2 linked regions of the Caenorhabditis elegans genome follow. The protein of the gene in region 1 interacts with the protein of each later gene in a pairwise test. Each region holds a gene or a part of one and is shown on either strand. Other genes may lie near its edges.

Region 1 (4,672 bases):
AAGTTTATTTTGAAAAAAAAGGACAAATATTTTCAAGTCAACAAGGTGTGTCTGGAACAATTCGTTTTAAAACAAAAGTTCAACCGAGGATCTATTGCAAAAACAATCCTTTTAGATACATTGCACTGGATATTTTTTGAAACGACTATTAAAATCAAATCTAAAAAGTATCTAGATGTCAAACAAAACTCCCAGAAAAACGGATGTGCGCCTTTTATACAGTAACTTCAAAAATTCATTGCAGCAGAATTTTCATCGATTTTTGTCGTGTCGAGACCCGGTACCGTACTTTTGGGACGAAACTCGCGAAATTAATCTTCTGGATAATAGTAGAAACGTATGTCGTTTTAGAAGGTTTGTTTGACATTTACATTTTTTTAAGATCTGATTTTTTAATTTTGAATCTAAAAATGAATTCATAAAGTTTACAGACTTTACAATTAAAGATTCTTTTTTTTTTTTAATTTTTTATCCTCCCCTGTCTCACTATTCTTATGTATATTGGCAAGCTAAATTCTGATTTTCAATTTATTTTATTAATGCGAAATGAAAAGATTCACAAAATTGGAAAATTACAATTTTAGACTTCAGAAAAAATAAAAAAATAAAGATAAGACAGTACAATGGAAAAATTTAGATATTTGAATTTTTGCAATTCTGCAAAACAGTCTGAGTTTTCTGATTTGATAAGAAAGTTGTTATGAACAATTTGAACAATTTTTTAAATATTTGGAGGATTCATGAGAATATTGAAATGCATATTATCGTTTGGAAAGTCCTTTTGAATTGGAATTACAGTGCTGGTTGAGAGTACAAGATGGAAGTTGAATCCTCTGTTTTTGTTATCTGAAATTGTTGATAAATATCTTTGAACCAAGGGATGATAACTCACATTCAACAATACGTTTAAGATTGTTTAGCCTCTTCCTCAACGACATCAAAATCGTCTTTCTCTTGGTCATCAGAGCTCTCAGACGAACACTCATATTCTTCAATGTCTTTGAGAATTTCAGCAAGATCACTCAAAGAATCTTCATCCGAAAAAATAGATCCGGGATAGTTGCTCTCAGCAGTTTCAACTTCAAATTCGACTTTTCTTGTAGTATCATCTTCGCTTTTCTTTCCATCTTTGACTTTATTAAAAATCGGTTCAAAACGATCCGAAAAGAAAGCCCTATTCGTTTCGAAGTTTATAGTTTCTTGCTTCATCATCTCTTCAATTTGTTCCTTTTGTTTCATGAGCGTTTCCTTTTCAACTCTGAACTTTTCCTTTTCTCTGATGAATTCTTGACGTGAAGCCGAAAGATCGAATCGAAGTTGCTTTTCGTGTTTATCGAGGCTAGATTCTGCTTTCTTGTAAAAGCGATCGCGGAAAGAAACTTTTTGAACTTTTTTACCATCAGTTGTATCTTTCAGTTTTGGATGCATTCTTTCATAAGTTTGCGGTTTCCTGCTAGACATGTGCTGAGCATACCATGGGTCCTCAATAATGTTTCGATCACTTTGTGCATTCAAATATCTCGAGACATTGTTCTTTGTTGCGATGGCTTGAGGGGTTATGCCCAATCTCCTCAAAGGAACCTGGATAGCTCTGTCACGAGAAGAAGCAATTGCTTGAACTTGACCGTTTTGATCTTTTACCTCCTCTGGGTTTTTGACAATCAAATGTTCGGGGAACAAAGTATTTTCTGACACCAATCGAATCAATGCATGCTGAGCATGAACTCCGGCAGCTTCACATGTTTCGCACAAATCGTAGTTGTAGCATATAGCACACTTGAATCGATGCCCAATAATCAAATCTTGGCACTTATCACATGAAGCCTCGTGAACTTCCTTGTTTTTGAAGGAGTTTTTGTCTTCTTTTTTGCGACACTGATTCTCAAGCTTCATTTCGGAAATATCCTTTTGAAGAGATTTGATTTCCAGTTGTTGCTTGTCTAGAAGCTCTTGAAGTGAGAGTTGTCCTTCAGCAATCTAATATAGTTTTCTTTTAGAAACAAGGGAAACGAATCAGAAAAATAATACCTCAGTATCCTTCATAACTCTCCATGCCTTGTCAGATTTCATCGTTGCCTTACATTCATTCACAGTCCGACCCAAATCATCCAACTTGGCAATTACCGAGACATCCAAGATTCTGACATGAAGAAATAGCTGAGGAAGTTGAGAATGATAAAAGCTCAATTCCGGGCGAATGTTGTTGTAGATCTCATAGCCACTGGACAGAACTACAGGGCCATCCTTGGTAACTGAAAATCATATCTGGTATAAGATGACTGACATTTTATATAGTGCCAGCTGAAACTCTATTCGTATTTCTTTTTTTGTAGTTTCTATTTAAAGTGAGCACAACTCAAATACTAGCTCATTTAGATTTGAAAATTTTCAACTAACAAAATTTTGCTCTTAACGATTTCTAAAATTATGTTATCAAACAAATTATCATAAATTCTTTGGAAAAAGTTACAGCAACCTGCGGTTGGGTTCAGATTAAATTTGATAAAACGATATATTTTCCCTATAACCTCTATTGTTCTACTTTGTTTTTTGTCAACTGTGTGTGCAACAACAATAGTTTTGAAACATCAAAAACTCAATTTTTAGACAGGTCAAATCACATCCAAATGCTTCAAAAATCTTGTCAGCCGATGTAACTTCTTTTCATAGAAAAACGGAAGCGTAGATAAAATTCAATTTTTCATAATTATAATTTTTCAGTTGATCAAATTTTGTTGGACATATTGATTATTGTGTTATACTATTTTGAACAACTCGAATAGTATCTGGAAAACCTAAAATAACCAATGAAATTCGCGCAGGCACTGTGCATCTAAATTTCATTTAAAAAAAAACTTACTGCAGCTAAACTCAAAATCAGCAGCCGAATGGATGGTGGAAGATCCCAACTCGACGAACGTTTTTCTGAGTTGATCGAGGACTTGACATTGACATGAGAGTTCCAATACAGCATTCTTGTTGATATCCTCATTGTATACACGCCAATGATAGTTAACCTTGACACGGCATGTTTTGTTATGTTCACGGCACAAAGGTATCATTGGGATGACAATTGGAAGTTATCAAGTTATACCAAGTTTCTGGAATTATTTATCGAAGTTCTAGAAATAGTTCAATATGAGAGAAAAATTAAGGAAACATTAATACATATTTTGAAACAGTGTGCAATTTCTATTTCGCATAATTTCTTTGCCTGTTTTTTAGAGAGAGGTTGCGAGTAAGATATTTATAAACCTAACAGAAAATGGCATTATAAACATTGAAGATATATATGCATAGAGGTTCTTCTGCCAAGAACGTTTGGGAAAAGAGCAAGGAGAAGTAGGAGACTCAGAGACAAAAGTGTTCCCCGCGCGGAAATGAGTGGTACCTCGAAATAGAAATCGATAAGCGTGTGCCCACTTGTCCGGGGGTACAAGGGTCAATTGGATTATGAGGTATTAAGTTTGGGCTATTATTATTAGAAATGAACCATAACTGGAGAATCTGTGGACTTTTTTTCTCCCGTAAAAAATTCCCCCATTTTTGCTGAAACGATTTTATTCAAAGTGACTCATCTTGCAAAATGACGAATCACAATTTACAATAATTTTTCGGCGACAGTTCAAAGGCACACGCTGTTTTTTGAGAGGGTCTCGCCGCGATCTCTGTTAAAATTATCGTTATAGGGGCAAATATTTACAGATTTGTTAATTTTTGGTAGAAAATGAAGTTTATAAACAACAATTTAACTTCTGTGCACAGAGAAAATCAGGATTTACCAAAAGCACCTAGTTTGGAAGGATTGACGTGAAATTCCAATCGGCCGCCTGCGCCTGCCTGCGTTTAATTTCGAAATGAACAAAGACTAAATATAAAGTGTAAAAACAGATTGCAACCTTCATTTGCCTTTTCTCCTCTCCGTCTCTTTCTCTCTCTGTTTTCGTTTCCTCTCTCCGTCTCCCAATTTTTCATTCTATTTCGGTTTTACATATGTGTATTCAAAAACGAGATAGAATTTTGGAAAAATATAAAGTAAATTTGGAGAGCGCCTAGAAACAGAGAAAACACAGAAAATCACGCGGAAAAGCTGTCGTACGCGGAAGATGTGCATGCATAATGATATCACTGAATTGGACATTTTTCGGTGTAAAATACAATTTATTTTTACAACACATACAATAAAAGGTAAAATGACCAAACAATATTGCATTTAAGAGAGAGAGTGAAAAAGGCTTGGATTTACCCAAAAATAGGGAAGAAGTACGGGATTGAAATTGAAAAAAAAGTGAGAGGACATACTTAAACACTGGATAAGAGAATAATTGTTCGTTTTTGAAAATTGCCAAGTAGAATAAAATTAAATCAAACTTTTCGCTTAGAAAAATTGGCAATTGTCAAGAACAAACAACCCTGAAGATTCGAAAATACAATGCAAACTATAATAAACAAATCATCAGGGGTGGTGGACGTTTTGGAGGCGCATCAGACCAGAGGCGCTCACGATGGAGTTTAGCCAAAGGTCGTCACAAAGCTGCCTCTACTAGCGACCACCGACGGTCCAATTTTGAAGAGAGTAGGTGATGAAATAAAATGACATTGAGATTTTAGGTTTATTTGTTTTTTTTTTTGAATTCATATTTTAAAAAAGAGATCCTAAATAAAATCAATG
Region 2 (5,550 bases), on another chromosome or scaffold:
TTTCGGCAGGAGACTTTAATTTTCTTTAAAAATACACAAACTTGGGGATTTTTAGGGCTACAAGAAGTTTTGCATTCATTTTCCACATAATATTGCCGGCAAAAAACTCTAAAAATTAATTAGAATTTGAAGAAATCCTAAAAACACATCGATTTTTCAGGGGGTTCTGGCCTTCCTCATTGCATTTTTTGCGCTCCATTGACAATCGCCCGACGGGCAACGCATGGGAAAGTGTCGTGTACTCCACACGGATAAATACATTTAGTTTTACTATCGAGCCGCGACGCGACACGCAACGCGCCGTAAATCTACCCCAGATATGGCTGAGCCAAAATGGCTTAGTTCGGCAAAAACTCTTCCATTTCAATTTATGAGGGAAGCCAGAAATCCTTGTTTTTTTTTTGAAAAAAATCCACGATTCTGTGTATTTTGACGTGACGGTGTACTACGTACCGAGCATTTTATTCGACGAGACACTCACTGAAAAAAAACCCAATTTTTAAAAATTTTTCTCATTTCAAAATGCAATATTCGTAATAAAAATCAATATTTATTTGAAAATTTAAATCAACAGCGAGAATTGCAAGAAGCACGAAAAAGAAGAAAATATTAATTTTTTTTGCGTGCGTTTCGGTGCAGTTTTTCGGGTTTTTATACCCGGGAGATGAGGGTACACTTGTTGCAAAACTCGGGGATCGAACATTAAAAAAAAATTAAAAATGTATATAATATTTTATTCTTCTTCATCAGCGGGCACCGTCAGAAATTCAATGTAGCTTGCGTTTCCCTCGCCGTGATCGATTGAAAATTGACAGGAGAGGACGCCACGCTCGTCGACACGGAGGATGAGCTGGAAAAAACTTAAATTGTAAAGTTTGCATCAAAAAATTCGAGACATTTTTTTTTAGAAAATTGAAAAAAAAATTTCGAAGAAAAACATTTTTTCTAATTTTTTCTCGATTTTTGAAACTAAAATTTGATTTGGAGCATAACGTTTTAATTTATTTTTCGATTTTTTTGGCCAATTTTGGAGTTTTTGGGGTTTTTTTTCGGGGAAAAAAACGGAAAAATGTTGATATTTTTTGTTGCAAAATTGGAAAAATCGTTAAAAATGCTTTAGACATTTTATTTATTTTTTTCGAAATTTTTTTCTGTTTTTGAAAAAAAAATGAAAATTTTTTTTTTCAAATTTAAAAAAATTTTCAAAAATCGAAATATTTTTCGAAAGGAAAATTAATTTTTTCACAAATAAATTTATTTTTCTAAAAAAATCGGCTCAATTTTTTAAATTAAAAATTATAGTGAAAATAATTTTCACAAATTTTTTCAGATTTTTTTCAAAAAATTTCGAAAAAAATTTTTTTTTTCCCCCAATTTTTTCATATTTTTAATGAATTTTTCCTGGAACCATGATAACTTTAACTAGGAAAAATCTAGCAGATAGGCTAAATTTCTTTCCAGAAACTACCTTTGTAGCCAGTATAAAGGCGGTAGTCATTCGTTGAATAAGCGACAGAAGATAGCTAAATTCAACTTCTTCAAGGCACTTTACACTTTCCATTTGAAGGCTTCGAGACGGTATTGATACCTGAAAGTATAAAAAATTTGGTTTTAATTTTTTAAAAAATATTTTTTCAAAACAATTTTTTTTTTTTTTTTTTGAGTTAAAAAATTAAAATTTTTTTCTTTTTAATTTCCTAAAATTTATTTAATTTTCAATTTGAAAAATCCTACTGTAGTCTCGCCAACATCACCGAAAGTCGTGAAACACAGTGAATTCTTGGTGAATTGAATTCTCACCGTTCGGCTTGTGTCATCGAAGTCCTGAAATAGAGAAAAAAAATTAAAAATTCGTATTTTTTTAATGCAAAAATAAGAATTTTTATTTGAATTTTAGAATTTGCGCGTCAAATCATAAGTATTGGACGTCGATTTTTTTGGGTTTGGGTTGGAAATTCTGCAATTTAATCGATTTTTTTTTATTTTCGAAAAATTGAAACAATAAAAACTACTTTTTAAGCGAAAATCGAATTTTCAAGTAAAATTTTTTTTCCAAAATTGAAAACGGAAAATTTTCGTTTTTAGCTCAAAAAGTCGGAATTTTCGGATTTTTTTTTTGGTTTTTTTTAATTTTGAAAAATTAGAAAATCGGAAAAATATCAAGGTTTTTTCAATCAAAAACGGATTTTTTTTTTGAAAAGTAATGAAAAATTCGAAAAAAAAATTTTTTTCAGAAAATGTTTTAAAATATGAAAAACAGACCAAAAAACACCGATTTTTCTGAACGGAAAACATTTTTTTTCGTTTTTCGACAAAAAAGTATCGAAAAATAAAAATAAAACGTTTTTTTTTTCAAAATTGAAAAACGGAAAATGTTCGTTTTTGGCTCTAAAATTCGGAATTTTCTGGTTTTTTTCGTCTTTTTTTGTTGAAAAATTAGAAAATCGGAAAAACCGAAAAATTTTTTTTCAAAAAAGTCGAAAAAAAGTTTTTTTTCAGAAAATGTTTTAAAATGTGGGAAAAAACCCAAAAACAATAATTTTCTGAAGGGAAACCGATTTTTTTTTTCGTTTTTCGACTAAAAAATTTAAAAAAAAATGGTTTTTTTTTCAAAAAAGCTAATTTTTTCAGAAATTTTTTTTTGGAGTCGAAAAAAACCAAAAAATGTTAATCTGTCAGAACAAAAAGAAATTTTTTTGTTTTTGCGACATTCGAGTAGTTTTTTATTTCATTTTGAAAAAATCCAAAAAAAAATTTTTTTCCAAAAAGTCAAAAAAAAAATTCAGAAAATGTTTTAAAATATGAAAAAAACCGAAAAACACCGATTTTTCTGAAGGGAAACCGATTTTTTTTGTTTTTTCACTAAAAAAGTAAAAAAAAAAGTTTTTTATTTAATTTCAAAAAAAAAACATTTTTTTCGAAAATCCAAAAAAAAAAATTTTTTTTGGAAAATGTCTGGAGTTTAATAAATTTTTTTCGAATGTTTAAAGGTTTCAATGATAAAACCTTGATAATCTCCTTGAGAACTTGAGTTTTAAGCAGATAGGTCGCCAGCACACCAGCGTCATCGAATTCAAAGTCGAGCTCCTAAAAATAGACAAAAAAAAATCTAGGAATTTCGAAAACCCGGCGAACTTGATCTGCCAGCGTTGTTGTAAAATTGCCACGTGCCACCCATCCGTCTGCGTCTTCAACAAGCATTTTCACAGGCTGAAACATTCCCGGATACGAGACTTTTACAGAACTCGACGAGTTTTCCGAAATGCTCAGGAATTCCTGGAATTTTTTTGTTTTTTGCCACTTTTTTGGGCTTTTATGGGCTTTTAAAGGCTCACAGAAATCGATTTAATCGAGATTTTCATCGAAACTATCTCCTCGCGAACTTTAAAACTCGAGAAGAACGCCGGATTGATAAAAACGCTGGCCAGCTGATAGGATCCATCGTCGACTGTGATCTTCATGCCCGCCTCGGAAGCGTGCCACGTTCCTGTCTGGAAAATTGAAAAATTTAGATTTTTTCTCAAAAAAAATGAAATTAATATCGATATTTTCCAACACTAACATCCTTAAAAGCGACGGTTTTGAAGACCTGCGCGAGCTCCTTCACATTTTCTTTTTTCAATTCCATAATTGTGCATTGACCCGTTTCTAATTCCATCATTTTTCCTGAAAAAATTTAAATTTTAACCGGAAAACTGAGAAAAATCGCTGAAAATTAAATATAAATTAAAAAATTAATTCTCGCACCGTTTTCCGAGAGGAGTACACCTGCGGAGTTTTGTAGGCCATCGCACCTCGTCCCTCTCATTTGCGCGGAAATTCAAATTTGAAACCTCCGATTTTCGATCTTTTCACCCTTATTTTACACTGTGGCCAGTGTAAAGTACTTTTTCTTTTTGCGAAAAAGATTTTTCTTTCGAAAGCGAGAGAAGCTCACTGATTGCGTGACACACTCATCCGTCGTATCATTTTTGCTCGAAACTAGTTTACAACTTTTATGTGTGCGTGTGTGTGTGTGCTCTTTTTGGCTCCGGATGAGCTGAGCGGACCACGGAGCTATTATGAAATCCCGCGGTCCCCCATATAAACATGAAAAAAGAGCAATTTTTGGGAGTTTTTGGTGGGAGACGGGGAGGGCAATTTGTTCATACATCAATGCGTTTTTGTGTATTTGCTTTTTTTTTCTTTAGGAAGTTTCGAGATTTTTACGATTTTCCAGGCATTTAGTAGATCCCTAGTGTCCACATTTTCCACGTGGAGTACACGACGCGTGGTCAAATCTGGTGCATTGAATTTTTCGCGCTCCATTGACAATCTCCTGCCGGAAAGGACATTTTCCACGTGGAGTACACGGAACGTGGCCTAGAAAACTTTTCTTGGATCTTCACGGGGTTCTGGCCTTCCTCATTGATTTATTCGCGCTTCATTGATAATCGCCCGCCAGACAACTAAAATCGAGCCGCGACGCGACACGCAACGCGCCGTAAATCTACCGCAGATATGGCCTGAGAGACGCAGGGGTTTTTTTGAAGAAGGATATTTGATGGGACAATGGGAAGAAAAAAGGGATTTACAACTTGAAAATTCAAATTTTGCGCGTCAAATCTGGTGCATTGAATTTTTCGCGCTCCATTGACAATCGCCTGCCGGACAACGCGTGGTAAAGTCGTGTACTCCACACGGACAAATTCATTTAGTTTTACAACTAAAATCGAGCCGCGACACGGAACGCGCCGTAAATCTACTCCAGATATGGCTGAGCCAAAATGGCCTAGTTCGGCAAACTCTTCCATTTCATTTTATGAGGGAAGCCAGAAATCCGTAGTTTTTCTCTAGAATTTTTCTAATTCTATTTTTGTCATGCTAGTTCTTTTCCTCAAATTTGGTAAAATTTGTACTTTTTTACTTGTACTTGAGAATTTGTACTTCAGAAAAATAAGGCAAAAACCGCTTGTCCACGGGGAGTACACGACACGTGGCCTAGAAAACTCAGCGCGGTATTTCAAATTAAATTTCATGCCTTTTTCTGTGTTTTCTGTTATTTTATTACGCTAACAAAAAATCCTGAGAATGCGTATTGGGCAACATATTTGACGCACAAAATATCTCGTAGCGAAAACAAAACTACAGTAACCCTTTAAATTACTACTGTAGTGCGTGTGTCGATTTACGGGCTCGATCAATGATAAATGAATTCATTTCGAAAATCGAGATCCCGTAAATCGACACTACAAATGTCATTTAAAGAATCACTGTAGTTTGCTTTTCGCAACGAGATATTTTGCGCGTCAAATATGTTGTGCAGTACGCATTCTCAGAATTTTTTGTTCCCGTAATATTCTTGCTCCGCATTCAAATTTGAGCCGAGAGAGAAGAAAATCTTGTTTTTTTTTTCGAAATTTCCACGACTCCGCCTCCTGTGTGTGTGTGCATTTTTTGGTTCGTTAGCGCTTGAGGCTATGGGCTCTGTCGAGCTCATTTTTCTGTTTTTTTTTCGTGCTCCCCTTCCTATTTTGGCTCGCGGAGCTCAGCTATAAAGCGAGAAAATTG

The links. The genes of interacting proteins can lie anywhere in the genome.
Region 2: the proteins of gldi-4 (region 1) and mrt-2 interact in a two-hybrid assay, tested with the Caenorhabditis elegans proteins (2 studies listed by BioGRID).

What each region holds. Positions count from the first base shown.
Region 1 is NC_003282.8:7,016,055-7,020,726, reverse strand, and holds gldi-4 (ZZ-type domain-containing protein), read right to left. Parts: upstream 3,102-4,672; 5' UTR 3,063-3,101; coding exon 2,861-3,062; intron 2,253-2,860; coding exon 2,029-2,252; intron 1,978-2,028; coding exon 907-1,977; 3' UTR 893-906; intron 847-892; 3' UTR 517-846; downstream 1-516.
Region 2 is NC_003281.10:11,745,160-11,750,709, reverse strand, and holds mrt-2 (Cell cycle checkpoint protein RAD1 homolog mrt-2), read right to left. Parts: upstream 3,945-5,550; 5' UTR 3,748-3,944; intron 3,667-3,747; 5' UTR 3,662-3,666; coding exon 3,563-3,661; intron 3,492-3,562; coding exon 3,336-3,491; intron 3,277-3,335; coding exon 3,136-3,276; intron 3,088-3,135; coding exon 3,007-3,087; intron 1,825-3,006; coding exon 1,735-1,824; intron 1,589-1,734; coding exon 1,469-1,588; intron 851-1,468; coding exon 734-850; 3' UTR 535-733; downstream 1-534. UniProt on the Caenorhabditis elegans protein: May be a component of the 9-1-1 cell-cycle checkpoint response complex that plays a major role in DNA repair. Promotes DNA double strand break-induced cell cycle arrest and apoptosis, thereby playing a role in genome stability.